2 linked regions of the Sus scrofa genome follow. The protein of the gene in region 1 purifies or fractionates together with the protein of each later gene. This does not show direct contact. Links are inferred from orthologs where the notes say so. Each region holds a gene or a part of one and is shown on either strand. Other genes may lie near its edges.

Region 1 (14,991 bases):
TTCCATATGCCATGGGTGCAACCCTAAAATAAATAAATAAATAAATAAATAAATGGATGGATGTCTAGTTTTAAAATAACACATGCAGAGTTTCCATCATGGCGCAGCAGAAATGAATCCGACCAGGAACCATGAGGTTGTGTGTTCGATCCCCGGCTTCACACAGTGGGTTAAGGATCCGGTGTTGCTGTGAGCTGTGGTGTAGGTCGCAAATGCGGCTCGGATCTGGCGTGGCTGTGGCTGTGACATAGGCCAGCAGCTGGAGCTCTGATTGGGCCCCTAGCCTGGGAACCTCCATATGCTGCGGCTGTGGCCCTAAAAAAAAATAGTAATAACAACACATGCACTTAGAGAATACTCAAGCAGGAGTTCCCTGGTGGCCTAGAGGGTTAATGATCCCATGTCACTGTTGTGGCTCTGATTACTACTGTGGCCTGGTAACTTCCACGTGCCGTGGGTGGGGCCAAAAATAAATGAAATAAAAAATAAGCATAGAGACTTGTGGAGCCACGTAAAATTCTCCACGTCCAGCCCTCCAAAACAGCCTTGTGTCTTTCCAGGCTCCCCCCACATCTAGTAGGTTGTTTTACCATAAGCTGCAACGCCGTCCTCCCCACCCACAGCCCACAGCCCCCGGTTGGCTCCCCGCCGCTGACTGCAGCCCGTCTGCTTGCCTCCCCCAGCGCCCACCACCTTCTTGCTGTTCAGCCAGAAATGCGCCGTCAGCCGGATGATCCCCGACGACCAGCACAGCCCGGACCTCATCCTGCCCCTGCACGGGCTGAGGAACGTCAGGGCCATTGACTACGACCCACTGGACAAGTTCATCTACTGGGTAGATGGGCGCCAGAACATCAAACGGGCCAAGGACGACGGGACCCAGGCAAGTGTGCCGACGGGGGGCCCGGGAGCCCGAGGAGCTCGTCCTGGCGGTGTCTAGGCTGCGGCCTCCTTTGCTTGGCAGAGGGAGTGCCAAGAGAGCCCAGGGCCGGGGGAGCCATGATTTGGGCTCCAATTATGTCATGACCAGATTTGAGAAAGCCTGCAGTTCTCTGTAGAAACTGGAATTTGCTGCTGTTTAAGTAGTGGTGGTGGGTGTCAGACCCCACGGGATTTTTTTTTCCTTTCCGCGGTGGTTTTGTGCAGGGATGCTTGGTATCAGCTATTCGCGACGCATCTTTTTATTTCAGGGGGTTGATGGCCAGTTCTGCTCTAATGCAGCATGCGTGTTCCTGAAAATCACCCGCGAGACGGGGGGGAACAGGGCTGGTGCACAGCGCTCAAAACTCCATCAGTGACACACGGGGGAAAAGAAGAGGAAGCTGGCAGTTCAGGGGCGCTGGCCTGCACGTGTTAAATAGTTCGGTACCTAATTTCTACAGCAGATACGGCGCAGGACTGGCCGCTTTTCTGTTAGGTTTTTGTGACCCACTCCAGGAAGGACATTGTCACTGCAGCTTCAGGGCACACCGGGTGTATCCACCCGTGTAGCAGGGAGCTGTGACCAGAATCCCTTTGATGTAGAATTTGAGGACACGCCTGGCTGTTCACACCAGTTTCTAAAGACTCCTTTGATAGGAGTTGCCGCTGTGGTGCAAAGGGATCCGTGGCATCTCTGCAGCGCCAGGATGCCGATTTGCTCCACGGCCCAGCACAGTGGGTTAAAGGATCTGGCATTGCTGCAGCCTAGGTCTGCTCAGATCCCTGGCCCTGGGACTCCATGTGCCCAAGGGACAGCCAAAAAAAAAAAAAAAAAAGGCCCTTTTTTGTTTTGGTGTTGTTTTTGCTTTGCAGAGCCACACCTGCAGCATGTGGCGGCTCCCAGGCTAGGGCTTAAATCAGAGCTGCAGCCGCCAGCCTACCCCGCAGCCACAGCAACTCGGGATCCGAGCTGCGTCTGCCACCTACACCACAGCTCACAGCAACTCCAGATCCTTAACCCACTGAATGAGGCCAGGGATTGAACCCACATCATCATGGATACCAGGCGGGTTCATCACCGCTGAGCCCCAGTGGGAGCTAAGAAAAGACTCCTTTTTACCAAAGCTCCACAACCTACCGGTCTCTTTGTCGACCAGTGGTAGCGTCACATCTCATGTCATCGTGGCAAAGTCTCGATGCTGTTACCACGGCGAGGGGCGGGGAAATTCTCCTGGGCGGAGACTTTCAGGTGGTTTTTGTGTCTGCAAAGTAGATGTTTCCCTTTCCCACCCCGAACCCAGGGCTGCCTGTGCGGCTGGACCTCACTTTTTTTTTTTTTCGGTCTTTTTGTCTTTCTAGGGCCACACCTGCGGCATATGGAGGTTCCCAGGCTAGGGGTCTAATAAGGGCTGTAGCCGCCGGCCTACACCACAGCCACAGCAACACCGGATCTGAGCCGCGTCTGTGACCTACACCACAGCTCACGACGAGGCTGGATCCTTAACCCAGTGAGCAAGGCCAGGGAGGGACCCCGAAACCTCGTGGTTCCCAGTCGGATTCGTTAACCACTGCGCCACGACGGGAACTCCCCGGGCCTCCCTTTTGACGAAAGACCTCATCCAGCGACAGTGGAAAGCGAACAGGCCGTCATCCTCTGCCGTCCCCGTGTCCTGGGTTGATGGTAAAATCCCTGCCGGCCCGGCAGCTGCGCTGTCACCTCTGTAGGAGCAGAGCCTGGTGGATTCCTTTCATCCCACTCTGAGCGCAGGTGACTGTCACTCTGAGGCCTTTGGAGGAACGGGATGTGTTAATTGCCGGACCGAGGCTTCCCTGCTGGGAACGTTGCTGGGCGCAAATTGCCTGAACGTCTGTCGTCTGTCTCTCGGAGAGGCGGAGAGGCGTTCTCCTGCGTCCTCTTATGGTGTCTGGCAAAGTCGGGGAGACTTTGAAGAAAAAGCCCCTTTAGGGGCACTTAATTTGGGAAACATTCATTTCCATCCCTGCCTCTCTTGTTAGAACTCCATCCTCTGGGGGCCTTAATTCTTTATGGGGGTCACCACCCGGCCCCCAGGCATGATGGTCTTGACTCTATAACTATTTGGCTGTTGTTTTTTTTACTTCATTGTTTATTCTTTTGTGGTGGAATATACATGACATAAAATTTACCATTTTAAACCTTTTTTTTTTTTTTTTTTGGCTACATCTGTGGCAGGCAGAAGTTTCCCCCCCAGCCAGGGATTGAACCTACGCCATGGCAGTGACCTGGGCCACTGCAGTGACAATGCCAGATCCTTAATCTGCTGAACCACAATGGGAACTTCCATTTTAAACGTTCTTTTTTTTTTTTTAAGGGGTGAACCTGCAGCATATGGAAGTTCCCACGCTGGGGGTCTAATGGGAGCTACAGCTGCCAACCTATGCCACAGCCACAGCAATGCCAGATCCGAGCCGTGTCTGTGAGCTCATGGCAGTACCGGATCCTTAACCCACTGAGCAAAGCCAGGGATCGAACCCACAACCTCACGGTTCCTAGTCGGCTACATTTCTGCTGCGCCACAACGAGAACTCCCATTTGAAACATTCTTTAAGCGAGCAGCTCAGTGACGTTAAGTCCATGCATATTGTGGCGCCACCATCAGCTCCATCCAGATGAAACTCTGTGCCCATTTAACACGAACTCTCAGAGTTCCCGCTGTGGTGCCACGGGATCGGCAGTGTCTCTGGAGCGCTGGGATGCAGGTTCAGTCTCCCGGCCTGGCATGGTGGGTTCCGGATCTGGCGTTGCCGCAACTGCAGCTTGAACCTGATCGCTGGTCCAGGAATTCCATCTGCCTCGGGGTGGCCTAAAAAAAGAAAAGAACAAAGCAAAACAAAAACCACTAACCCTCCCTTCCCCCCGCCACCCCCACACCGGTCCCTGGCACCTGCCGTCCTCCTTGCTGTTTCTGTGAGTTTGACAGCTCTACGTACGTCATTTAAGCAGAATCACACAGTATTTATCTTTTTGTAACTGGCTTATTTCACTTCCTCTAATGTCCTCAAGGTTCGTTGGCACCATAGCACGTGGCAGAATTTGCTTTTCCGAGCAAAGGAGGCCACAGCAGGCTCATGCGCTGAAGACCGCACCCTCTTTGGAGAGAGGAGGAGGTGGTTTTGAATCTGACAGCGCTAACGGCCTGAACGCAGCCAGAACACAGACTGGAATGTGAACCCACCTGCCGGGAGTCAAACCCAGCCTAGAACCAGATTGGGACAAACCCACGGTTTTTGTCTTTTCTTTTTAAGGCTGCACTTGCGGCACGTGGAGGTTTCCAGGCTAGGGGTCGAATCAGAAGCTGTAGCCATCAGCCTACACCACAGCCACGCCAGACCCAAGCCGCATATGTGACCTACACCACAGCTCACAGCAAGGCTGGATCCTTAACCCACTGAGCACGGCCAGGGATCGACCCCGTGTCCTCAGGGGTGCTAGTCAGATTCGTTCCCACTGTGCCACGATGGGACCTCCCAAACCCACAGTTTTAAATTAAAATCACTCACCCGGTGTCTGGACTCACTGAGGTTCAGGGTCTTTATGTCTTTGCGCAAAGGGATTCAGCGAGAGACAAAGCCACACGCAAGAAAGAGATTTATGAGGATGGGATGCTTGGACGAGAAGCAGGCGGGCAGGCGCGGAGGCGCTGCTGAATTTGCTTCCTCTTTAAGACCAACACATGGTGTCTGTGCAGCACGCGTTTTGCTGGTCCATCGACCTCAGCGGTGGCTTGGGCTGTGCCCTCCTTTGGGCTGGAGGGAGTCTGCAGCCGCAGGCTCGCCCACAGGCTAAGTGCCGCTTTGCACTGGCGAGGGGGAAGGGTGTTGAGCGTGCTGATGGAGAGGGTTCTGCCCCGGTTCGGCCCTGGCCGGAGGCCTGTTCCTTGTGTCAGAAGCGGGGTCTGGCTTCTCTGAAGCCGGCCCAGCACGTGCAGTCTGTCTCCCGGTTTCTCTGCCTGGCAGGGCGGGGGCGGTGTGTGGCTCCCCTGGGCACGTTTGTCAGCTGGTTGTTCTGATGACTCTGTGCCCAGCTGCCCCGTTACCCGCCCTGCAGTCCCGCGTCCGGCCAGGGCGAGCTGCAGTCTTGCTTTCCGCCCAGCCCGTTGGCCGCCCTGGGCTGTGGTCCGTGACTCCAGGGCTGTGCCTGCTTAGAGCTGACGTGTGGCTCCTTGGGGCTGCGCACGTCGGTACGTGCAGAGATGCGGGTGACACTTCCAGCTGCCCAGTGGGGCTGGACCAGAGGCCGCTGTGGGCGGGGGCTGGAGGGGGCTGTTCCTCTCCAGATGGGTCCAGGAGGCTGGGCCTGGGGAAGGGGGCTGCTCTTTGGCTGCCAGCCCCCTCTTACCCCCGGGAGATGCCTGGTATCACCTGCTGGAGCGAGGTGTAAGTGGAGAGTCTGCTCTGACCCCAGCCTCACCCTGAGAGGCTCCCTCCTCAGAGCAGGGAGCTCTTCACCAGGCCATTGGCGGCGGTGGCCCAGCAGCTTGGGAAGCCCTTGGCACCAGGTCAGGCCACGGGGACCCCAGGGGACCAGATCCACCGGGGAATCAGGCCCAGGCCTGTGAGGAGAGGAAGCTCTGGGCTCTCCTGCTGCATCAGCTCATGAAACAAGGTCCCCTGCGAAGGGGACTCTGCCAGTGGCTCCGGAAGCCGGGCTCATCCCTGCGAGGGCGGATGGCCAGGAGTCAGGCTGCGCCCCTGGGGGACCCGCAGGAAGGTGGCGAGGACTGGCCTGAGAGGGGCGCGCTGGCCCTGGGCTCCCAGGATGTGCTGTGGGCAGTCCCCACCCTCGCCAGGCCTCCTCCCCGTGGCCTCTCTCCCTCCGGGAAGAGACTTGTATGAAGTGGCCCTCTGTGTGGCACCTGCTGTTCTAAAGCCTCAGCTTAAGTAACAGTAACATTCGAGTCTTAATCCCAAAGCCTGAGTCCACGGAAGCAAGGAGAGGGAAGGTGTCTTGAGCTGGGGCCCATGAACCTGGGCTGACGGCTCAGCGGGCAGGCGGGCCCCTGTGCTGCAGGGACAGGCCGGTCTGGGTCGGGTGGCGGCCAGCCCGGCCCAGTGCAGTCCCTGATGGCTGAGCCTGGGGTCCGAGCTGACGGGCGGGAGCTGTCCTAGGAGTCAGTGTCGCTCCCACATGGCCGTTTGGGCAAGAGCCGGTTTGAAAGGACAGGTGCCCCGTGGGGGGCTGACCTTTGGTCTGAACGCGGCCATCGAGGGCTCTGCCCTCCCTGTGGTGTCCTTAGCTGGTGCTCGTGTCCCCCTGTTCTGCAGCCCTTCGTTCTGACCTCTCCGGGCCAAAGCCAGAGCCCAGACAGGCAGCCCCACGACCTCAGCATCGACGTCTACGGCCGGACACTGTTCTGGACGTGCGAGGCCACCAACACCATCAACGTCCACCGGCTGAACGGGGACGCCATGGGCGTGGTGCTCCGGGGGGACCGAGACAAGCCGAGGGCCATCGTCGTCAACGCCGAGCGAGGGTACGGGGCCGAAGGGGTGGGTGGGCACCGCAGGGTGGGGTCTGCACTGGCTGGGGGGGTGCCCGGCGTCCGTCCCGTGAGCGGCAGCCTCTCGAGCCAGGAGGGCTCTCCCACCCGACGTGCCCGTCCGCCAGGATCTCCCCCGGGTTCCCGCCACAGCAGCTGGGCGGGTCGAGGAAACACTGACTCTTCCCCAGTCTTGGCGGGGAGTCAGAGACCCCGGGATGGCCTTGACTGAAAGCCTCTGCAGGGGCCCGGGCTTTGCTGAGAAACACAGGAAGGTTGTAAGTCCTCGTTCATGGGTTTCGTACCATCCCATCAAACTTGAACCCTGTACAACCACCCCTTCCAGGCGGTGGTGGACTATTTACTTGCATATGTCCCACCGCGGGGAGGTCACTACCTAACTGGGAGCTCCTTCCTTCTCTGAAGCTCCCTGCTGCTCCCACCGTCAGCCCTCGGGTGCCCTGGTAGGCAAGAGAGCGCCCGGGACACTTTGATGGATGCCGAGGCTCCCAAAGGGGAAGACCAGGATGGGAGGGGACCCAAAGCCACATGACATGGGGTTCAGAAATAAAGCCAGTCACAGGAAGGTTTGGGGACAGGAGCAGGAGCACGGTGGCCACCTCAGGTACCCGCAGAGCTGACACTCAAGGCTGGAATCAGACCCGTCCAGGCACTGCATCAGCTCTACAGAGCCGAGTTCAAATCCTGGCCCCATCACTTACTGCCTGAGTGACCTCAGGCAGGTGACAAACCTCCCAGGGGCTCATTTTCCATGTGAAGACAGTGGTAGAGCCAGCCCCACAGCACACGAGGGCCCAGTCATTTAAGGGGGCTCTTCAGCAACCAAAGCATGGGAGCGAGGACTGGTGCCTGGGGCCGCCGCCACAAGTGACTGCAAACCGGGGATTTAAAACAGCAGGTGTTTGTTCCCTTGTGGTTCTGGGGACTGCAGTCAAGTGTGGGCGAGGCCGTGCTCCCACCTGAGTCTCCAAGGAGGAAGCTTCCTGCCCTCGGCTTCTGGGGCCCCAGCCGCTGCTTGGCCTGGGCTCGGGGCCGCATCCTCTGAGCCTCCGTCTTCACGTCAGCTTCTGTGTATGTGTGGCTGCTCCTCTCTCTCTCTCGAAGCCACTGTCACTGGTTGAGGGCCCCATCGTAACCTGGGGTGGGGCCTCACCTTGTCCTAAATCACACCTGCACAGACCTGGTTTCCACATAAGGTCGCGTTCTGAGGCTCCGGGTAGATGCAAGGTTGTGTGGGACACTCTGCAACCCCTCCAGGGTGTGACTTTTTCAGCTCCGGGGCCCTGAGAGGCTGGGGCCATGTGATGGGTGACGGAGCCCCGCTGGGTGCCCCCAGGGCTGGGGGCAGGTCTGTCCGGGGCTTTGCGCGGAGCTCCGTCCGCAGCAGCATCCCTCACCCGCCCCTCCCGCAGGTACCTGTACTTCACCAACATGCAGGACCGGGCGGCCAAGATCGAGCGTGCCGCCCTGGATGGCACCGAGCGTGAGGTCCTCTTCACCACGGGCCTCATCCGCCCCGTGGCCCTCGTGGTGGACAACGCGCTGGGCAAGCTCTTTTGGGTGGACGCAGACCTGAAACGCATCGAGAGCTGCGACCTGTCAGGTACACGCCCTGGGGCCTCCCCGGGGATCCGTCCCTCGGCAGCCACCAGGTCTGACCCACCAGGGCCCTCCTGGTCGTCAGTCACAGGGTGGCAGCGGGGCCCGTGCTGGGGCTTTACCACGCATAGTCCCCCCCGTGCGTTCCAGGTCCCAGATGATCCCCTGGGCTCAGAGAGGCTGAGCCAGCTGCCCAGGGCCCCACAGCGTGGGGTAGAGGAGGAATCCTACCCTCTGCCTCTCGTGCCTGTTCTCGCAGCTGCTCTGGTGTGGAGGCCCCTGGGCTGGAGAGGCGTGAGAGTCAGTGCTTGGAGGGGCTTTTCCTCCAGAAGTTGGGGGGGAGGGGGCTGAGGGGAGGGAAGCACCCTGTTTTCAGGGGGCTAGTGACTGCGCCCCAGATTTGGGTTATGGCCCTGGCCCCGAGGCCAGCCCAGGTGGGAGCAGGAACATCCGAGGAGGGACCTCACATCTGCCTGATTCCAGGGACTGTGTCCCAGCCCCAGCCCCCCCCGTCCTCCCAAGTCAAGGGAGGGCCGAGCTCTCGGAGTCAGCTGCCACTCAGGGCACGCCGTCCCTCCTGCAGGGGCCAACCGCCTGACCCTGGAGGACGCCAACATCGTGCAGCCCGTGGGCCTGACTGTGCTGGGCAAGCACCTCTACTGGATTGACCGCCAGCAGCAGATGATCGAGCGCGTGGACAAGACCACGGGGGACTCGCGGACACGGGTGCAGGGCCGTGTCGCCCACCTGACCGGCATTCACGCCGTGGAGGACATCAGCGTGGAGGAGTTCTGTACGTGGGGGGCGGCAGCAGGCGGCGGTGTGTGCAGGGTCCCCGGGGAGGGTGGGCGCCTGCACGGAGCACATCGCCCCCCGACCTGGTCCCCTTGGAGAAAGACAGGAGGTTGAGCCAACGCGAGAGTTGTAGGATTGAGGCCCTGTTTGCGTTCTGGCTTTCAGCCAGGTCCACTCTCAGTTCCCAGAGGCCACCCTCAGGCTCTCACCGTGTGCTCCCCGCCCTCAGCAACAGAGCAAACCCCTCTGGCTTCCTTTTCTACCACCTGGAACCCGCCCTGCGTTCCAAGGGCCAGAGATTAGATTCCGGCCAGTTTTCAGATTAGCTTCCCTTTGACTGATTAGTAACCTTAATTACATCTCTCAACGCCTCTTGCCAAGGAAGGTAACAAAACCCCAGACACGATAGCTCATCCCAGCTGGGGAGTAGGGTGGGAACTTCGGGGGTCATTGTAGGAGTCTGCACTGTGCCCACGTGCCTGGGGGAGGGTGGGTGTCCCCCAGGGACCTCTGGTCCCTCCACCCCCTCTGTATACGGCCATACATGTGTTTAGAGGCAGGTGGGCATACATGTATGTCTGTCCCTCTGTCTTCTTGCTTTTCTCTCCTCGTTCCGTAAATACACCTGGGCTGCCAGCTGGGTGAACAGGGCCTTTGCTGTCCTTGTCCTGTGATACCCACTGTCTGGCCGCCTTCAAGGCCCGGGGGGCTGCCCCCCATCCCAGCCCAGCCCGTCACCTTGGCCTCCCACCTCGGCCACACCCCCGAGGTTTTGACTGTTCTGCACGCCAGGCCCTGTGCCCAGTATATTATGACGTTATGTGTGTTATTTCACAATAATTCTTTTACGGTTGAGGGAGGCAGGGCTCAGAAAGGGTGTGACGCCACCCTGTCACCCAGCCAGTAAACACGATGGGGCTTGGATGTGAGGCCAGAGCCCATGTTTTAGGCACTGGGCTTTTTTCTGGGCTCCCTGCTCAGAACTGGAGTCAGGACCTCTAATGCTGTGAGTCTGTCACCCCTGGGTTGACTGCTAGAGGGTGCTTTCTGCCCCGTGGGTGCTCAGCTGGGTCCCAGGTAAGAGAAATCACTGGACGACCAGCTTCCAGGGAACCGGGGCCCGCTGTGCCTGTGGGTTAGACGCCTGCGTTTACCTGCCCCTCACACCATCCTCAGCAAAGTCCTGGATTCCTGTGTGTCCCTGGCAGATGGTCAAAACAGAGATGCTGGTCCCACAAATGCTGAGACCACTGCCTGCTGGTGTCGCTGAAAGCCAGGCAGCTGCGCAGAAGCTCCTTGGAACTGAGGGGGCAGGGGGGCCAGGAGACATTCAGGGAGCAGGTTTGAGGCTGGAAACCGGGGATGTGTCCCCGAGCACGAATGTGCAGGGACTAGGGTGACAGAGAGAGGCTCTGTTTGGGGCAAGGGCGGGAAAGCCTTAGGATGTGTGTCACCCGGCCTGCTGCCCTGCAAGATCCCACAACTGGACTCTGGACCAGGGTGGACAGTCGGTGTGTGTGTCACCCTGGCTGCCTTTGCGAGGCAGCTGGCTGACTTGTGGAGTCGTGACAGGTGGCCTGGCTCGTGAAGCCAAAGTTACTTTCCGATTCTTTATGGAAAATGTTTGCTGGCCCTACTCTAAACGATGACTCTGCCATTTTCCATTTATTTATTCATTTATTTATTTTGGCTTTTCAAGGCCGTAACTGCAGCATATGGAGGTTCCCAGGCTAGGGGTCTAATCTGAGCTGCAGCTGCCTGCCTACGCCACAGCCACAGCAACACCGGACCCTTAACCCACTGAGCAAGGCCCGGGATTGAGCCTGCATCCTCCTGCATACGAGTTGGGTTCCTTACCACTGAGCCACAGTGGGAACTCCAGATTCCTCCATTTAAAACACCTAGTTGTCAAGGTTGAGGGGGAGTTTGACAACACTGATTTGTCTCTGGGGGTGGGAGCGAGGGGCAGAGTCATTTCCTCCCACCTGAGGGAGGTCAGCCCCCCTCCCAGGCTCCTAAACATTGTCCAGGTGTTGGGCACGTGAGGTTTAATTGAATTAAAATATTCAAGTTCCCAGGGGTTCAGCATCCTTGTTATCTTAGTTCTTGTGTGTAGTAGTCTTCTGCAGTTCCCGTAACAAATCACCACAAACGGGGTGACTTAAAGTAACACGAACATGTTCTCTTACTGTCTGGAGTTCAAGGTCCAGGTGTCTGCAGACTGGGCTCCCTCTGGAGGTTGGGGTGGCTGCGGGGGGGGGGTTCTTTGCGCCTCCCACTTCCTGTGGTTACAGGTGTTCCCTGTGTCTGCATCATTTCAATATCTGCCTCTGTCTGCACATGGCCTTCTCCTCTGTCTCCACTTCTTGTGTCATCTCTCTTTTTTTTTTTTTTTTTTGGCCATACACAAGGCATGCAGAAGCTCCCTGGCCAGGGACCAAACCCATGCCAGAGCAGGGACCCACGCCACAGCAGTGGCAATGCAGGATCCTTAACTCCTGTCATCTCCTATAAGGACATGTGTCAGTGAATTTAGAGCCCACCCAGGAGTTCCCATCATAGCTCAGTGGTTAACGAATCTCACTAGGAACCACGATGTTGTGGGTTCGATCCCTGGGCTTGCTCAGTGGGCTAAGGATCCAGCGTTGCCATGAGCTGTGGTGTAGGTTGCAGACGCGGCTCGGATCCCACATTGCTGTGGCTCTGGCATAGGCTGGTGGCTACAGCTCCGATTAGACCCCTAGCCTGGGAACCTCCATGTGCAGTGGGAGCGGCCCTAAAATAGACAAAAAAAAAAAAAAAAATCCAGAGCCCACCCGGATAATTCAGAAAAGACCCCTCTCAAGATCCTTAGCATCGTTATATTTGCAAAGACTCTTTCCAAATGAGGTCTCATGCGCAGATTCCAGGCAGTAGGATGTGGACATAGCTTTGGAGACCACTACACCGCAAGAGACAGACACCTAGGTAGGCAGCATAGAGTGACAGTTGTGGGCTCAGTGGAAGCTGGCACAGATGAGCTGGGCTGTGACGCTGGGAAAGTTCTCTAAGTGCTTTTGGCCTCCATTTCTTCATCTGCAAAAGGCAGTGTCAGTAGAAACAGGCTACATGGGCTGCCCTGAAAATAAAGTGGGAGGATCTCCTACACTCTTACAGGAGTACCAGTTCTTATGAGTTCTTGCCTGGCCCCCATCCCCTCCATCCTTTGGGCCATAGTCCTGAGATAGGAACCCAACCCTCTCCCTTTTTTCTCTCCACAGCAGCCCACCCTTGTGCCCGGGACAATGGCGGCTGTTCCCACATCTGCATCGCCAAGGGTGATGGAACCCCACGGTGCTCATGCCCAGTCCACCTTGTGCTCCTGCAGAACCTATTGACTTGTGGTGGTAGGTGTGACCTCAGCACTTTCTTTTGGGACACTGAGCAGGGACCTGATTCCTCTGCCTGTGAGGTTGCTGCCAGGCACCTTTTAGATATATATTCCTGGTAGCATACAGTTTCCAAATCAGACTGTCTCTTTGTTTGTCCTCTTTCCTAATATAGGTATATCAGGGCTATGAATTTCCCTCTAAGCACTCCTTTTGCTGCATCCCACAAATTTGGATAAATTATATTTTCATTTTGCTTTTTTTGTCTTTTTGCCATTTCTTGAGCCATTTCCACAGCATATGGAGATTCTCAGGCTAGGGCTCTATTCAGAGCTGTAGCCACCGGCCTACGCCAGAGCCACAGCAACGTGGGATCCAAGTCGAGTCTGCAACCTACACCATAGCTCATGGCAACGCTGGATCCTTAACCCACTGAGCAAGGCCAGGGATCGAACCCGCAACCTCATGGTTCCTAGTGGGATTCATTAACCACTGAGCCACGACGGGAACGCCTATATTTTCATTTTGAGTTAATTCAAATATTTTAAAATTTTTCTCAAGATAATTTTTTGGCCCTCGTGTTATTTAGAGATATGTCATGTGATTTCCAAAGAGTTGGAAACTTTCTAGCCATCTTGCTTCTAGTTTAATTCCGTTGTGATCTGAGCACCTGCTTTGTATGATTTTCATCCTTTTAACTTTGTTCAGGTAATGTTCTATGCCTCAGCATGCTCCACTTTGGGGAATATTCCATGTGAGCTTGAGAAGAACGTGTCCTCTCTTATTGGGCGGCGTGTTCTGTAAATGTCAGTCAGATTCAGTGCTGTTCAGGTTAGCTATATCTTTCCTGACTGTGCTGTCAGTTACCAGTAGTGAATTTTTTTTTTTTAAGTAGTTCTGTCTTTTCACTTCCTTTTACCCTTGGTTCTCTTCTTCCCTAAGGATGCATGCAAAGTGGTCAGGACTGTGAGCTTGGACCTGGCACAGCAGGTTAAGGATCTGGCATTGAAGCAGCTGTGGCACAGGTTGCAGCTGTGGCACAGACTTGATCCCTGGCCCAGGAAATTCCACATGCTGCGAGTACAGCTTAAAAAAAAAAAGAAAAAAAAAGTCTAAGCTTTAGGGTTAGACAGATGTGGGTTCACATCCCAGCTTTGCCACTTCCCAGCTGAGGGACCCTGGGCTGGTTTCTTGCCTCTCTGAGCCTCCACTTCCTTCTCTGTGAAACAGAGAAATTGAGAGCACTCACCTGATGGGGCTGTTATCATTTCACGGGGTACTTCGCGTGGTCCCTGACACTTGGCCCGTGAGAATGCCAGCTGCTGTTAGTTGTGAGGATGTCAGAAGCAATAAAAAGGGGATGAAACTCAATCCCCGGGGGCTTCCTCTCTTCCTCCTGGTCCCCCGGTGACCTTGGATGTGTCGTTTCTCTTATCCCCTCCTCTGCTGAGCTCCTGAGGGAGTCCCTGTCCCTTCTGTCCTCATCCTCACCCCCAGGACCACACTGTGCCTCCCCCCCCACAGCAAATGCTTAGCACATGTCGGAGAGCAGGACCACAGGCCTATCCTTCTGGAACTTTCTACTGCCCCACCTCACACCATGAACCCCAGAGAGCTTAGCCAAGAACAGAAGGGACATTTTATGACTGTCCCCTGATGGGGCCACCTTGACCCTCCTGAGCTTCCTGGTGGCGTCGTTCTGAGTTCCAGCCTGGGGACTCACGTGGCTTTGTGGCCTGAGAATGACGATGCAGCTTCCGCAGATGTCCAGGCTGCCCTGGAGAAGAGGGGCCGGGGAGAGAGCTGCACAGAGCACTCGGCTCCCCCTCGGACCCTGGCCCTGGGCCTCTCCACAGGGGGACGCGGCCCTCTGTCACCTGCTCCCCAGGCTTTGGCCCTCAGACTCTACTGTGTCCCCATCTTCATCTTCCCTGGACTCTCTTCTGGGGCCTCACAGGAGGGTAAGGGCTCACGGAGGCTCCCAGGAAGTACCGCAACCCAGGTGCCTCACGCGGTGACAGGAGCCAGTGGGCAGGGCATAGCCCGTGATGCTTCTGCCTTCTCAGCAGGGCCGCTGGCAATGCTGTGTGAGCCCCGCCAAAGCAGGTGCATGTGTGTGGGGGCACACACACATGCACACGCGCCACTGTCACTGTCACTGCTATGAGGAGCCTGTGATGGAGGGTGGCTGCTTCTGTTTCAGGGACAAGAGAGTGGAGGCTCTGGGAGGGTGGGGGTTTCTCAGGTTGCAGAGCTGCTGAGGGGAGCCTGGGTTCAAGGCCAGGTCTGTGCAACCCCCACCCTGGCCCTTCCTCCCTCTCCAGCTACCACTGCCAGGACTGGGGGGCCCTGCAGAAAGGCTGTGCCTGCCCCACATGGACCCCCTTCTTCCTGGCCGGGCCACAGTGGGGGCGGGCAGTTGAAACAACAGCCAAAGGCAAAGGGGGAGTTCCTGCTGTGGCACACTGGGCTCTCTAGAGTGCTAGAATGCAGGTTCAATCCCCAACACAGCACAGTGGGTTAAGGGATCCTATGTAGCTCGCAACTGCAGCTCAAATCTGATCGCCGGCCCAGAAACTCCCTGTGCCATGGGGCTGCCAGAAAAGAAAAAGACAAAGGGCCTTTCCGAGCTGGAGCTCAGGAATAGGGCATAGGCCACTGTCTGCATATACAGCTTTTTCTGGCCAGCATTCACGTATCCTTTGTTGGTGGCTCAGTGTGCAAATATCTGTCGCTGGCTCACTGGAGGCACAGAGGGCATCTGGACT
Region 2 (15,651 bases), on another chromosome or scaffold:
GCCCAGCCCCTCCGGCAGACACCATGGCTGATGGGGAAATGGCACTGGGCTGGGGGCCTGCAGGGCCCTTCCTCTGTGACACGTCTGAAACATCTGACCTGGACCACGGCCAGCCTGGGCACCGTCCTGCGGGCTGGGCCCATTCACGGAGGGTCGCACATAGACCTCTGAGGCCGGCAGGTTCAGGCCAGGACCCTCACCTTGCCAAGGAGGAGACTCCGGTTCAGGCAGGCGCTCAAGTGTCCGGGGAGGCAGGAGCTGGGTGCATGATCCCAAGGCCCCCAAGCCGGGGGTGCTGGGTTGGGGGTGGGGAGGCTGCTTGCCCCTCTTCTTCCCAGGTCCCCGTGGCTGGCTGGCGCCATCTTGGACATCCCCGAGCCTGCTTGACCGTCTCCAACTCCTAGACACACCCCTGGGGTCAGAATCCTCCAGAAAGGCGGTGCAGAAAGGTGTCCCTGCTATGCCCCTCAGCCCGGAGTGACAGGACCCCAGCAGGACATGGGGTGAAACCCACAGTGGGCGTGTGTGGAGGGCACCCTGGGAGGGAGTGTGCCAGCCTTGGGCTTGACCCTTGACTCCTGGGGGCCAGCAGGGATGTGAGGGTGGTGTCAGGGCTGCCGGGTGAGCGGTCTGTGCGGGAACCATGGGACCCACCTGGCATCAGCTCGGTGGGCCTGGGGTGCTGGGCTCTAGGTGAGCAGGAACAAGCGGGTGACCACGGTGGCTGTTTTTGCGAGGGCTGCCACAGCCCAGCCATGGCTGAATGCTTCGCTGTGCATTTCTCTGGGCGGGACCCCCTTGTCTGGAGAAGCCAGGGCAGGAGGTGTCTCCTAGGAGCAGGGCACCCAGGACTGGACAACAGAGACCAACAGGGTCAGAGCATGTGTCACCACTGAGCTAACCTTGGAACCAGGCGTCCAAGGCAAGCCCTGCTCCTGTCCCCCCATCTTCCCTGCTCGGCACTGGGAGCAGGTCATTCCTGCGGCATCTGTCTGCGGTCGCTTCGGTTGCAGGTTGGCGTGAGAACTCCAGAGAGCAAGAGGGATGCAGAAGGCCAGCCTGGAGGACACGTCTGTCCCACAGGGGTGAAGGGAGAGAAGCCAGAGGCAGGCGGAAAGAGGCGTCCTGGGGGCCCAGGGAGGGCTCAGCCTGGAGTGGCCCCAGAGCCAGCAGCCCAGGAAGCTCAAGGCAGCACCTTCTTGCTGGCCCTGGGGCTGCCTCTGGGCGCCCATGGCAGTCACACCCTGCCTGACACTGCCCAGCGGGTCAGCTCTGTCCTGGGGCCCAGTGTCCTCACCATGCTGCCTGTCTCCCCCTGACGGATTCATTCATAGTGACAGCTGATGGAAAAATGGTCCCTGCTATAGAGCTTCCTAGCTTTTCTAAAATCAGAGCGGGAAGATCCTTGTAGGCCTTTCCCGATGCATGAGGAGACTGGAGCCCGCCCTAGTCGCCCTCCAGCAATAACTGGTACTCATGCCCTGGGGTAACTCCTGCCTTTATTCGCACATTCTCTTGGTCCACCTGCGCAGCTCCGAGGTTCTCCACATGGCGGGATGTCTCCACATCCTTGTTGAGCTCAGGAAGGGGACACACCTGGCTCTCCCTGGTGAGCTTAGAACTGATGGAGAAAGGACACTCGGGGACAAGAGATGGCATCCACAGGGCTGGGTTTTCCACCAGGAAGGTGCCTGACCGCTGAGGCTGGGCTGTGTCTCAGAAGGGAAGTCCAGTTGCCCTCGTCACCACTGGATGAGCTGAGCCCTCCCTCCCACTCCGGGCCCTCACCTGCCCGCTCACTGCCCATTCCCGCCTGTGACCCGGCAGAGGGGCAGGAAACACAGAGCCCAGAAGGGGCTCAGCCGAGGCTTGGGACTCCCCGGAGGTCAGTGCGGATCTGCTCGTCGGTATCTCACCTCGCCATGCAGTTGCACACGCGGCGCCATGCCAGGCGCCCCTCAGCAGCCTCTGCCTGCTCCTTGGGTGGCCTTTTTTTTGTTGTTCTTTTTGTCTTTTTAGGGCTGCACCGCGGTATATGGAGGTTCCCAGGCTAGGTGTCCAATTGGAACTGTGGCTGCCAGGCTACGCCAGAGCCACAGCAATGCGGGATCCAAGCCTCGTCTGTGACCTACCTGACAGCTCATGGCGACGCCGGATCCTTAACCTGCTGAGCGAGGCCAGGGGGTCACACCTGCATCCTCCCGGATGCTAGTCGGGTTCCTTAACTGCTGAGCCACAACTGGAACTCCCCAGGGTGGTCTTGAGCATGACTCCTTACCAGTGGTCTCCCTGGCCAAGTGGGCAAACATGTGGAAGGATCGGGGGTCCTGGTATCGCAAATATACCTTTCGTGTCCAAGTTGAAGAAAATAATTTCCTTTTTGCTCTTAAGATTTTTCTTTTTTTTTTTTTTTTGGTCTTTTTGCCATTTCTTGGGCCGCTCCCACGGCATATGGAGGTTCCCAGGCTAGGGGTCTAATTGGAGCTGTAGCTGCCAGCCTACACCAGAGTCACAGCCACGCAGGATCCGAGCCATGTCTGCAACCTACACCACAGCTCACAGCAACGCCGGATCGTTAACCCACTGAGCAAGGCCAGGGATCGAACCCGCAACCTCATGGTTCCTAATCGGATTCGTTAACCACTGTGCCACGACGGGAACTCCCTTAAGATTTTTCATTAGTTTCTGGAAAGCCTAAATAAATGCCATCTATAGTTTATCATAGCCAAGCTGCTTGCAGCTGCCTCTGGTCCCCCCAGGGAGGGTGCATTTTGGGGAGGGGTCTTTTTTCCAGGGCCATACACATGACATACGGAGGTTCTCAGGCTAGGGGGTTGAATCGGAGTTGTAGCTGCTGGCCTACACCACAGCCGCAGCAATGCTGGATCCGAGCTACATCTGTGACCTACACCACAGCTCACAGCAACACCGGATCCTTAACCCACTGAACAAGGCCAGGGATGGGACCTGCATCCTCATGGATGCAAGTCAGATGGGGTTCCACTGCACCATGACGGGAACTCCCCGAGGGTGCATCTTCCATGTCCCTCTACGGACGACAAGAGGGCTCCACCTCGGACCATGCGGTTCACAAACGAGGTGCCCACAGCTCCATATCTGCTCTCAGCTCTGGGTGGCTGATGTGGTCCCCCTGCCAGGTCTCTCCTGCTTCAGTGCCGGCCCCCAAGGTTGCCCTCCCTGCTTCCCTCTCTTCAGAGACGACCTGAGCCTCCTCCTCTATCTGCCCCGACCCCTACACTGCCCCAGGCTCCCATGTGAGCCCACAGCCACGAACCACTGCAGCGGGTTTTCTGACTCCCTCCTGTCTCCGCAGGGTGAGGGCCCCGAGGAACCGGAGGCGCGGGGGCCCTGTTCTGGTCCCAGGGCCTGGGGACACCTGCCGCCATGGGCCAGAAGGAGGATGGATGTGGACACAACCCTGGGAGTCTGGTCTGGTCACAACAGCACCTCTGCAAAACCAAGGCAAGCATTGGGGTCCCACGTCCAGGAGTGGGGTGACAGCCTGAGGACCAACGTCCAGAAGGTCCTGCTGTCTGTCTGGCCTACCCAGGACTCCCTGCACCCCACAAAGATTCTGCTGTGCCATGAAGGCCACCCACTCTGTCTCTAAGGTTCTGAGGCTGAAGAGGGTGGGGGAGGCTCTGCAAAGGCATCTCCTGTACCAGCGTCCGGAGGCCTAGGGCCACCCCAGCTGGATGTGGGTGAGAGTGACACCGGCCACCAGGACCCCAGTGGGTCCACGTGGGTTCAGCTGTTCAGCTCCTCTGATGTGCTGTCCCCACCCACAGCCCCCGCACTGCCCAGCCTGCCCCGGGCATGGTGACGGCCCCAGGAGGTGGCCTAGCCCCTGGCAGGTTAGGAATGCTTCTCTGGTGGCCCTCATTGCTCCCCTTTCCTATGAAACACAGTGCGTGAGAGGATGTGCTGAGTCCTGGGAAGCTGGATTCGGGGAGCTGGGACGCCTCTGTATTGCTCACCCAGGCAGGTGCCACCAGTGGGCAGCTGAGTGGGAGGTGGGCTGGCAGCTAGGGTGCCACAAGCCTGGACTTCTTTCCTTGCCTGGGAGCTGTGAAGATGAGGAGGATGGGCAGAGAGGGTGAGCAAGGCCCAGGAGAAAATGTGGTGGCATCAGAGCTGACCTGGGGAATTGGGGGTGGGGTGGGCGTAATGAAAGCATAAAGATGGACGAGTGACCGCATGCACACAGGGAAGGGCTCTGAAGGCTGGGAGAGCCCGGGGAGCAGCCAGATGAGGGCTGCTGGGGATGCTGTGGGACTCATGAGAGGTTGGGGAGCCCCGGGCCAGGAGGAGGTGAGAAGGTCCCTGTGTGGCCTGAGCTGTGGCTTGTGGGTAGAATGGGGGTACAGCCAGGCACTGTGGCCCACTGGAGCATTTCTCAAGGCACCAGGTCTGACGGGGCACTGCTGGAGGACAAAGTCCTGGGTGATCATGGGCCGGGGGTGACGGAAGCAATTCCTTAGGGGCAGTAATCACTTTCTGGTGCCCACATCCTTCCCTCTGGGAGCGGCTGGTGGTGGGTGGGCAACAGGGGAGTTGGTCAGCCGGGCTTGCAGATCAAGCAAGGGCTGCTATGGAAACAGCAAGGGGGATAAGGGTGGTGGGTGTAGGGTGGGACACCGAGAAGCCGTTACTCTCAGGCTGGCCTGGGCCAGTGTGGCCCGTAGGCAGTGGTGGGAAGTGGAGCCTCTGTCTAGACCCTGGATGGCACCTGGGAGAAATCCAGGAAGGATGGGCCAGCTGGGGTGAGGCCTCAGCCAGTCCCGCCCACAGCTCTTTGGAAGTTGGGGCTCCTCCCCAAGTGACAACCTGTATTTCTTGGATGCCTACTGGCCCAGGCTGGGTCCCACCTGCCTGCGGACTTAGGAAGAGCAGAGTCCAAGCCCACCTTGGTAGGGTCCTGGCTGGCTCGGGGGCAGCCTGCCTGGAGAAGGGGGAGAAAGACGCTGGATATCACCAAAGGCTTAGCACTCGGTCACCCTGGCTGTGCCGTCCAACTGCCCAACTCCTGGGCACTTGCTTCTTTCTGTGCCCTGGCCAGACTAGTGGCAGTCCTCCTGCCAGGGTCTTCCCATTCAGGGAGCTACGGGGGCCTGTGGGCGCCGACCTCTGGAGCCCTGGGCCAGTGGACACCATGTGGGCGGCTAGAAAGGGCCGCGACCCGGCGTGCGCCTGCGGGGCCGACTGAGGGGGCCCGTTCGTCCCTACGCTCGGTACCCGAGCCACTTCCCCAGGAGTCCAGCGCAGTTTCCGGCGCACCTTCACGAGTCACCCTCGACGCAGCCCTGACCCCGCCCCCACCAAGGCCCCGCCCCCACCGACACATTAGAGCCCGCCCACTTGCTCGGGCTCTGCGTCACGCCTCCGGTCCGCCTAGACGCCTTTGGCCCCGCCTCAGCTTTCGAGGCTCCGCCCCCACGTTCGAAGCCTGACCCGCTACGGTCTTGCCTTCCCTGCGCTCCGGCTCGGTCTCGCGCTCTCGGCCCGGCTCCCACTCTCTTGGCCCCGCCCCACGTCCTCGGCCGCGCCCACACGCCCGGGCGTCGCCTTTATCAGAGGCTCCGTCCCACGCGTTCTTCGCCCTGTCACGGCGCAAGGGCTGGGCTTTGCGTTCCCGACGCAGACCCTAGGCCCCGCCCTCGCTCCCAGCCCGCCCCCGCGCTCTTGGCCCGCCCCGCGCCCCGGGCCCCGCCCCCGCACTTCCGGGCGGCGCCGGCGGGGGCGCTCCGGCCTGGGCTTCGGCGCTCTGGGCTCGGGCTCCCGGCTTGGGGAAGGGATCGCGGTCGCCCCCGCCGCCGCCGCAGCCGCCTCCACCGCGGGCACCACCGCCGCTACACCGGCCAGAGTCGGGCCGGAGCCGCGACCCCGCGGAGCAGGCCGGTGGGAGTTGGCGAGCGGCCTCGGCGGCGCCCCTGCGGCCTGCCCCGCGCCCGCCTCCGGGCCGACGCGCCGCCGCCGCCGCGATGGGGGCCGCCCGGGGCCGCGCCTCCGCCCCGTCCCGCCGGCCGCGCCGCCGCTGAGCGCATGGGCCGTACCGCGCCGTGCCGCTCCGGGAGCCGGGCCCGGGGCCCCGCCGCCGCCGCCGCCTTCGCCTTCGCCGCCGCCGCCGCCGCCGCCGCGCGGGTGAGTAGTGCGGCCGGGCGCGCATTCCTGAGGGGCGCGGGCCTGTGCGGCGCCCATTGTAGGCCGCGCAGGCCGGGCCTGGCGCGGGACCCGGAAGAGGGGCTCTGAGGCTGTGCGGGCCCCGAGGGTGTGCGGGTTTGAGTGTGTGAGGAAGGGGTGTGGGTCCGCTCTGAGGAGGGCAGGTGTGTCCAAAAAGGGATGCTGGCGAGTGATGGAGGAGGCGAGGGCCGTTGACACTGGCGTCTCCGGGTGGGCCAGCGTTTGGGATTTAGTTCAGAAGGGGCAGCCACTTGCTCTAGTCGGGGGCGAGCAAGACTCAGTTCTGAGAAGGGCTGCGGGGTCCTGCTCTAAGAGGCTGGGGTCTGCAGCTGCTGTTTGATGGGGTGGTGCCAGGTGCGTGCAGTGGTCCCTGGGCCTGGGGCATGGGGTGGGGTGTGGGCGGGATGCAGAGGGACCCCGGACAGAAGCAGGACCCTGGGTGCAGTGTCCCTCCCCTCTTCTAACAAAAAGTAGAGGTGAGTGAGGCTGAGACCCAAAGAGGGCGCTCCCTCTGAGGCAGCGGTGCCAGAGGCTGGGTCTAGGCTGTGGTTTGGCCCGCGTGAGTGGCTTTACTCTTTCCGCGGCTGCCTTGCCCCCCAAACTCTCTGTTGGGTGAACATCTTAGACTCTCCGTCAACCCTGCGTTTTGGAATTCCATCCCTCTTGAAACCAGAGCTGTGAAACTTAGAGCTTAGCATCCAGGACAGCAGAGAAGAATAAATACACCAATCCTCGGGGGTGTTTTTTTCTCAGCCCGTCTCTAGATAACCGATAAAGAGTTATTGTGCCTCTCCGCCCCTCCTTTTTGTCGTCCTTGTGTTCTCTGCTTCCTCAGGAAGAATTTCAGGCGTTCTGGGACCGAGCCCTGTTTTGGAGAACACACGCAGGCTCAGCCTGGCCCCCTAAGATAGCGGTCGGTATCTGAGTTCAATTTTAGGAGCTGCTATTCCAGGATGAGGACGGGAAGGCGTATGCCAAATGCATTGTTTCTGTTGGGTTTTCAGCAGGTGTTGAAGTTTCTTGGATTTCTAGTTTCAGAAAAGCTTTTCGGGTTACACAGGTCATTGAGGATTTAGCTGGTTGGCGGGATGACATGTGAAACGGCGGGCCCGGCCTTTCAAGAGTTTAATTAATGGGCCGACGGGAACGTGTCAGAGTCGCACTGCTGTTTCTGCGCGCCTCGAACCTAAGAAGCTCCTGCTGCGGCTCAGCGGGTTAATGATCTGGCTTGTCTCTGGCGCTGCTGGTTCAATCCCAGGCTCGTTGCAGTGCGTGAAGGAGTGGGCGTTGGCGAAGCTCTGGCATGGGTCACAGATGCTGCACGGGTTCCATCCGTGGCTGGTAATGTCTGTGTGCCGTGGGTGTGGCTGAAAAAAGAAAAAACAATTCAGATGGTATATTTGAGTGAAATGAATGCGTACGTACACACCTATAGCACCGAGGCAGCTGCCGTGGTGCCCAGGCATGCCTGGCAGGGACCGAAGGAGCGTTTCGGTGAGGTGTCAGGGTTTCCGATTCCCTTTGTGGCTTCCCTTTATTGATGGTGGCTACAGACCGTGGGCCAGAGTCAGTGTCGGTGGGGACTGGACTCTGACCTCAATGGATGTAAATGCCTCACGGGTGGTACACACACCCGACGTGCGCTGCAGTTGTCCGTGGGAACCCAGACATTTCGGGAATGGGCTCGTGTTTCAGCACCAGCAGGAACTGGGAGCGAGGTTCTCGTGCTTCCAAGGCCCCGAAGTTCTCCTGTCCGTTGACAGCGGAACATAGGTATGGATTTTAAGATGTTCCTTCTAGGCTAGGAAAAACTAGTTTAAGTGACATGGGGGGCTTGTTCACACACGAAGTAAAAGTTAGTCCGTTAAAGCAGTGCATTTTCATGACAGAGGACTAAGTCTTTCACTGGCTGCTCTTTCTGTAGCACAGTCCTTCAGTGCCTGCGAAGAGCCAACATTCAGCGTCTGTAGGTGGTGTTTTCCTTAATGGCGATGAAGTAAGTATTTATTGGTGCCCATTACTTGCAGGACCTTGTGTTAGATGCTGTGAGTCCTGCAGAAAATGTTTAACTCGGGCTGCCACAGACCACTCCTGTGGCAGAAAGGGGCACTTTAAGAGAAAGTGACGGTGACTCGGAATTAGCCTCCCAGTCAGACACAGTGATGTGTTTTTCTCAAGGCTGGCGGATCCCTGCAAGGGTGAGGCTCAGGGACCAGGGGTGGGTCCTCTTTCCTGAGCTGGTGTCCTTGACGGGAGAACCCTGGATGGCCGCGAGCAGCTGTGGAGCTGGGACACCAAAGGTGCTCAGTTCGTGTTGATGGCACTCAGACAAAAAGCACCTTGGCAGTTTCAGTGGTCCGTGAGCAGCAGGGTGTCATAGCCCATGGGCTTTGACCTTAAGAAGCAGGCTGTTCCTGCTGAGCCTGAGCCCTTCAGCCTGCCAGTGGTTTTCATAGAAAGTCATGAGCTGCAGAGCCGTCCATAACCGTGACCCATCCTCCACCTCTGGGTGCTTCCTCTAGCCCCCCACAGCTGCCGGCCCTCAAAGTGTGTGCAATGTGCGCATGCAGGCATGGGGGCAGGTGGCGGGGTGGCGGGGAGATCCACGCCTGCTGTTTGTATGCTGGCAGGGCTTTATTTCCGTCCCTCTTTGTTCTCGCAGGATGACGCTTGTAGCTAGTGGCATGGGACATTGATCCCTTAGCGCCAGAGGCGTGCCTAGAGCTGTAAAGCTTTCCAGACATTGTTTTCACGTGGTACAAGACCGGTGACAAAGATTGAAAATTTGGGAGTTCCCGCTGTGGCGCAGCACGTTAAGGATCCGGGCTGTCTCTGCGGTGGTGCGAGGTCGCTCCCCGGCCCTGTGCAGTGGGTTCAGTGTCTCGTGTGGCTGCAGCTGGGGCGCAGGTCATAGCTGGGGGCGCGGGGTCAATGCCTGGCCCGGGACCTTCCACAGGCTGTGGGTGTGGCCTCTGGAAAAAAAACAGAGTGAGAATTTAAGCCGAGTCTCTGGCTTTGAGCGGGAGGGCGTCGTTGCGAGGCTTGTCTGAGAAAACCTCTGTGGTCGTGTCTCCATGGCCCCACTGTTCCTAATCCTTGTCCTCTTGATGGTTTCAACAGGCCAGAGTGATTCCCTGGGAGCCGTAAGTACTGATGTATTAGGGTGCAGCGCGCGTTGCGCCTTGACGCACAGCGCCCCAAAATGAATACCCAGGAGCAGGGCTTCCCCTTGGACCTCGGCGCAAGTTTCACCGAAGATGCCCCCCGGCCCCCAGTGCCTGGTGAGGAGGGGGAGCTGGTGTCCACAGACCCCAGGCCCGTCAGCCACAGCTTCTGCTCTGGGAAAGGTGCCGGGATTAAAGGGGAGACTTCGACAGCCACGCCGAGGCGCTCGGACCTGGACCTGGGGTACGAGCCCGAGGGCAGCGCTTCGCCCACCCCGCCGTACTTGAAGTGGGCCGAGTCGCTGCACTCCCTGCTCGACGATCAGGACGGGATAAACCTGTTTCGGACTTTCCTGAGGCAGGAGCACTGCGCTGACCTGCTGGACTTCTGGTTCGCCTGCAGCGGCTTCAGGAAGCTGGAGCCCTGCGACTCGAACGAGGAGAAGAGGCTGAAGCTGGCCCGAGCAATTTACCGCAGGTACATCCTCGACAGCGGTGGCGTCGTGTCCAGGCAGACCAAGCCGGCCACCAAGAGCTTCATCAAGGACTGCATCGCCAAGCAGCAGATCGACCCTGCCATGTTCGACCAGGCGCAGACCGAGGTGCAGTCGAGCATGGAGGCCAACACCTACCCCGCCTTCCTCAAGTCCGACATCTACGCTGAGTGCACGCGCGCGGGCGCCGAGAGCCCCAAGGCCTGTGGCGAGCCGGGCTCCGCGGCAGGCACGGGCAAGGGGGTCCCCGGATACCTGCCCACGCTGAACGAGGACGAGGAGTGGACGTGCGACCGAGGCGCGGACGAGGAGGCCGCCGGAGACCCCGCACCGCCCGGCAGGCTCACGCAGACGCTGCTGCTGCTGGAAACCGCCGCCCCGCGGGCCTGCTCGAGTAGACGGTACAGCGAAGGCAGAGAGTTCAGGTGAGTCCCCCGCGAGGCCGCCGTCCCACGCTCGCCTCCGGGCACTGGAGGACTGGCCTGGGAAAGGGCTGCTCCCTCGGCTCTGGCCCCAGAGCGGCGGGACGCCTGGTGCCGGGGTGCGAGGTCACACGGTGTGCAGAGCCTGGCAGGTGGAGGGTGCTTTTGGCGAGAACAGCCCCAACCCGAGTGGCTTCGGAAGGCGCTGGGAATGTGGGCTGCCTTGGACGCCACGTGGCGTCCAACCCTTAGCAGTCCCGTGTGTGTCCCCTCGCCCAGAGGGGTGTTGACCTGGTGGCCGCGGTCCTTGGGGCTCAGAGAGCGGAGGCCTGGACGTTGAAAGGCGTCGGTGCGTGGAGAATTCCGGGTCGTCCCCCGAGCTTCTTCCTAGAGGTCGGGAAGCGCTGCTGGCGAGGCTGCTGTGCCGCAGGCGGTCCGAGCCCCGTGGGAACTTCCTGTGGCTGCGCTTGTGGGTCTAGGACCACCCCTTTCTCCTGCCCAGACCGGGACTCGGAAGCTGTGGTCATGGTCGTGGCCTGTGGGCACAAAGGCAGCTGGGAGGCCAGGAGCGGTGCCTTTGGCAAGTCGCTGGGACTTTGGAAACCTGTTTCTTGGTTCTCTTTCTTGTGGTTCCTGGCAGTTTGTTTGGTCTCTGGCCGGAGCTTGTGGCCGCCGGTCGCAGCCCTTCCCCTCCCTTCCCCGTCCTGGCCTGCGAGGTGCTGAAAGGCTGGCATTTAATAAAGCGACCCCATGATGCAGGCGAGTCTCCCGGCGCTGGTCTCCCGGACCCCGTCTTCAATCTTCTCGTGGCAGAAAAAGTGGTTACTTGCTAACAAACACAGGGCTAGATGTGCTGAGGGTTGAAATGTTCTCTAAGGGGTGGGAAGCAGACACACTGTCCTAGGTGACTTTCGTTTGCCTTTTTCTCACTGTCTCTCTCTTTTCTTTTTTGGCCTATGAGGTTCTCGGGCCAGGGATCAGATCTGAGCCGTAGCTGCAACCTCAGTTGCCACGGCTGCGGCAGTGCCGGATCCTTAACCCGCTGTGCTGGGCTGGGGGTCGAACCTGCCTCCCAGTGCTCCCAGGATGCAGCTACAGCGGGACCTCCTCATGGTCTTTAAACCTTACGTGGCGCAGTGGTTAACGAATCCGACTAGGAACCATGAGGTTGCGGGTTCGGTCCCTGCCCCTGCTCAGTGGGTTAACGATCCGGCGTTGCCGTGAGCTGTGGTGTAGGTTGCAGATGCGGCTCGGATCCCGAGTTGCTGTGGCTCTGGCGTAGACCGGTGGCTGCAGCTCCGATTCGACCCCTAGCCTGGGAACCTCCATATGCCGCGGGAGCGGCCCAAGAAATAGCAAAAAGACAAAAAAAAAAAAAAAAAAAAAAAAAAAAAGAAAATCTAAATCTAACTTGAGAGTGTTCATATTTGGTCAGGACAGTGTTCTTTTTGTTTGTTCGAAGGACCACACCTGCAGCCTATGGAGGGTCCCAGGCTAGGCGTCGAATCGGAGGTGCAGCTGCCGGCCTACCCCACAGCCCACGGCAACGCCGGATCTTTAACCCACTGAGTGAGGCCTGGGATTGAACCCCCATCCTCATGGATGGATACTAGTCGGGTTTGCTACACTGAGCCACAACGAGAACTCCTCGACTTGATCTTGTGTGGGGCAGGTTTAGGTCACCAGCAGAGTTGAGAGGAAGGTGCCGCAGTTTCCCGCACACTCGTGTCCCCACGTGTGCATGGCTCCCCCGTCACCGGCCTCCCGCAGCAGAGTGGTCATTTGTCTCAGATGCCAAAGCTATGGCATGACCACCCGCCGTCCGTGGTTGCACTCCAGGCCCCTCAGCGGTGGGGTCCGTCCTGTGGGTTTGGACCAAGGTGTGCGACGTGTGTCTGTCGCAGAACTGCATGGGGTGGTCTCGCTCTGCCTCCGCGTCCTTTCCAGCCCCCGCCCCTGCCCCTGTCAGCCCCTGAAGCTTTTGCCATCTTCATGGCTTTGCCTTTTCCGGAAAGCCATGTAGTTGGAGCTGTGCAACGTGCAGCCTGTTCACGCTGGCTTTTCTCTCTCTCTCTCTCTCTTTTTTTTTTTTTTTTTTGTCTTTTTGCCTTTTCTTGGGCCGCTCCCGCGGCATATGGAGGTTCCCAGGCTAAGGGTCGAATCGGAGCTGTAGCCGCCGGCCTACACCAGAGCCACAGCAACTCGGGATCTGAACCATGTCTGCGACCTACACCACAGCCCACGGCAACGCCTGGTCCTTCATCCACTGAGCGAGGCCAGGGATCAAACCCGCAGCCTCATGGTTCCTAGTCGGATGCGTTAACCACTGCGCCATAACGAGAACTCCTAGCTTTTCTCTCTTAATACGCTTTTGCGGTTCCTCGGTGTCTTTTTGTGGCTCCGAAGCTCATTTCTTTTTGGTGCTGAACCGCGTGGGTGGTCTGGCTTATTTACCCACTCGCCTGCTGGAGGACATCCTGATTGCCGTGTTTGACAGTTGTGACGAAAGCTGCAGTAATCACCCGTGTGCAGGGGTTGGTGTGGGCCTGAGTTTTCGTCCCCTTTGGGTGAATGTCAGGGGCCTGAGCGCTGGATTTCATGGTGAGAGCAAATTGAGTTTTATCAGAAACTGTCCCCTTTCCGAGTGTTTTTGCCTCTGCCTTCCTGTGGCCAGCTTTGTGCCAGGTGGGCTCCCTTGCCTTGGAGGGTGGCTCCGGGCTCTGGGCGCCCTTGTTTTGTAAACAGACGCTTCCCACTGAAGGAAGCACAGAAGGGGGCCCCGCGTCTGCCCTGGTGGTCAGGGATGGCTTGTGCCAGTGTCCTGCCCGTTCCAGCATCGTGACCGCGCCAGGGCTGGGCCTGCTGCTGGGCTCACCCCAAACAGGGCGCCCAGAGGAGGAGGTGCCCAGACGGGGAGCCTCACGGGGGGCGGGGTGCAGGTCTGAGCAGGCCCCTCCCCCCGGGGAGCGCGAGTGTGCACGCACATGCATGCACATCTGTTTGTCCTGTCGCTGACTTGAGAAACAGCAGGTGAGCCTTTTACTTAGGTCTTTGTCAAAACCGAAAGAGTAGAGGTGGCCCTGGGTTTTTCTGCATTTGTCCTGCTCACCTGGGTCCTTTTGAGCCCTCGGGCTGAAGCATCCCCAGACTCGTTGCTGCTCCCCTGGTCTCTCTGCGAAGGGTCTCCCTGGTCCTTGTTGCCTGTTGTTGGTGGGACTGTGAGCATGTGTGACTTTGGCTGATTCACACCCACCATTTAAATTCGGTCTTTTTTTTTTTTTTTTTTTTTTTGTCTTTTTAGGGCCAAACCCATGGCATATGGAGGTTCCCAGACTAGGGGTCCAATCACAGCTGAAGCTGCCGGCCTACACCACAGCCACAGCAACTCGGGATCCGAGCTGCGTCTGCAATCTATACCGCAGTAAATGGTAACGCCTCATCCTTAACCCACGGAGCGAGGCGAGGGATCGAACCCGCATCCTCATGGGTACTAATCAGGTTTGTCACCCCCGGGCCACAGTGAGAGCTCCCCACCACTTAAATTTGGTGTCAGTTGGCAAAGGGCCCTCTGATGATGCGGCTCCCCGTGCCCGGCGGCTCACGCCATTGGTCAGTGGGCGGGGGCGGGGTGGGGCGGGGGCGGGGCTGCTCGGGCAGGCTGGGCGGGCCAGAGTCTGTGCGCTGAGACTGGAGCGGTGGATCCTAGGCGCTCTCCATTGGTCAGCAGGGCCGCCAATCTATGCGTGGGCGGGGACGGGGGCGCGCAGGCCCAGCCCTGAGAGGTTTAGCTCTGCGGTCGCCACGGCAGTTCCGGTGCCCCTAGGCCACAAGGCGTGGAGACTCGAGGGCAGGAGCCAGGGCCGGTCGGAGGCATCGGGGTCCTGGACGGCGCAGCCGAGCTGCAGGTCGGCTCTTTTGGCTGTGTTTTTACTTAATGATTTGGCGTTGGGGCCCAGGCTCCGCCTCAAAAGCTTGGCCTGGCCCGACCTGCCTGCTGGGTGCCGAGCTGGGCCAGGTTGGTGCAGCCTGTACTCTTCAGCAGCCCTTCTAGCACCTGCACTCAGCGATTGTCCATTTGTTTGTTGTTCTGGCTGTGCCTGCGCCATGTAGAAATTCCCGGGGCAGGGATGGAGCCTTCAGCACAGTAGTGTCCTGGGCCACAGCAGCAATGATGCTGGATCCTTACTTAACCCACTGCACCACAAGGGAACTCTGCCACTAGTTTTATTTTATTTTTCTTTTTACGACTGCACCTGCAGCACGTAGAAGTTCCCAGTCTAGGGTCACATTGCAACTGCCGATGCTGGCACCTCGGGATCCTTAACCCACAGAGCGAGGCTAGGGATCGAACCTGCATCTTCGTGGATGCCAGTCAGGTTGTCAACCTGCTGAGCCATGGCGGGATCTCTAGGACACTGATCTTGTTCAGCCAGCCTGTTGGACTTGACCTTCAACGAATTCTCCTCACTGTTGAATTTCTAGGTCACCTGCCGTGGCAGGTGGCTCCTTTTAAAAGTGTGGCTCTTGTGCTGCAGCCTTCCCCTCCATTTTCCTGTTACCGTGCTGGTAATTACTGGGAGTGTGGGCACGAAGCTCTGAGAGAGCGCGTGGCCTTGCTGCCATCCCTCGTGCTCTTCCAGATGTGCGACTTCCCACCTGATTGAATCCCTTTAACCAGCAGACGAGCCCCAGGCAGGCGGAGACAGTTGCGGACGAGGCGTAGTTCGCAGCTGTGGGCTTCTCAGGGCGGGAGTCTGCGGGTCCTTTCCTTCCCTCCACTGGCTGGAAGGGTAGACCTTGGAGCTTGGTGGGGTCCGCCTTCTCCTGGTTGTGTGCTGGTGGGAAAGTGGCTGCATCTCCCTGAGCTTTTCTGTGAAGTGGGGAGGGTGAAGGAAGGGCCCGCCAGGTGTAGCGGCTCCCTGGGGTAACCCAGGGCTCAGCCCCGCGGGCGCCTGCGCACAGCCGGTGCTCGGGGTCACAGCCCCGCGTTTCTCTGTCACCAAGGCCAGGGGGGCCAGGGCTTGGTAAATTCACAGCTGTTGCGAGTGACCCATTCACACGTTAATAGCTCATTCCCCCCCCTCCCCGCCCCAAGCCTGCTCCTCCTGCAGTCATCATCACCTCCTGAAGTGGCACCACCATCTGCCAGGTCAACACAGACTACCTGACTCCCCCTCCACATGAGCTTTGAATTCCTCTTCTCGCTGTCCAGGCTCTGCCTGGCTCTTGCCACCTCCTCCTGGACCTTCTGGCCGAGTCTCTGCCTTCCTCTCTTCTCTCCACCGCGCCCAAAGGGATCTTTTCTTTTCTTTGTGTGTGTGTGTGTGTGTGTTTTGTCTTTTTAGGGCCGCACCAGCGGCATATGGAGGT

What was found.
Region 2: the proteins of LRP5 (region 1) and AXIN1 purify together in Homo sapiens (affinity purification with western blotting; 3 studies listed by BioGRID). This does not show direct contact. The link is inferred for Sus scrofa from reciprocal best matches to the Homo sapiens genes LRP5 and AXIN1.

What each region holds. Positions count from the first base shown.
Region 1 is NC_010444.4:4,548,928-4,563,918, reverse strand, and holds part of LRP5 (low-density lipoprotein receptor-related protein 5), read left to right. Parts: intron 1-683; coding exon 684-883; intron 884-6,225; coding exon 6,226-6,434; intron 6,435-7,873; coding exon 7,874-8,064; intron 8,065-8,643; coding exon 8,644-8,853; intron 8,854-12,115; coding exon 12,116-12,241; intron 12,242-14,991. UniProt on the Homo sapiens protein: Acts as a coreceptor with members of the frizzled family of seven-transmembrane spanning receptors to transduce signal by Wnt proteins.
Region 2 is NC_010445.4:41,338,796-41,354,446, forward strand, and holds the start of AXIN1 (axin-1), read left to right. Parts: upstream 1-6,112; 5' UTR 6,113-6,162; intron 6,163-6,602; exon of another isoform or gene 6,603-9,321; 5' UTR 9,322-9,403; coding exon 9,404-10,284; intron 10,285-15,651. UniProt on the Homo sapiens protein: Component of the beta-catenin destruction complex required for regulating CTNNB1 levels through phosphorylation and ubiquitination, and modulating Wnt-signaling.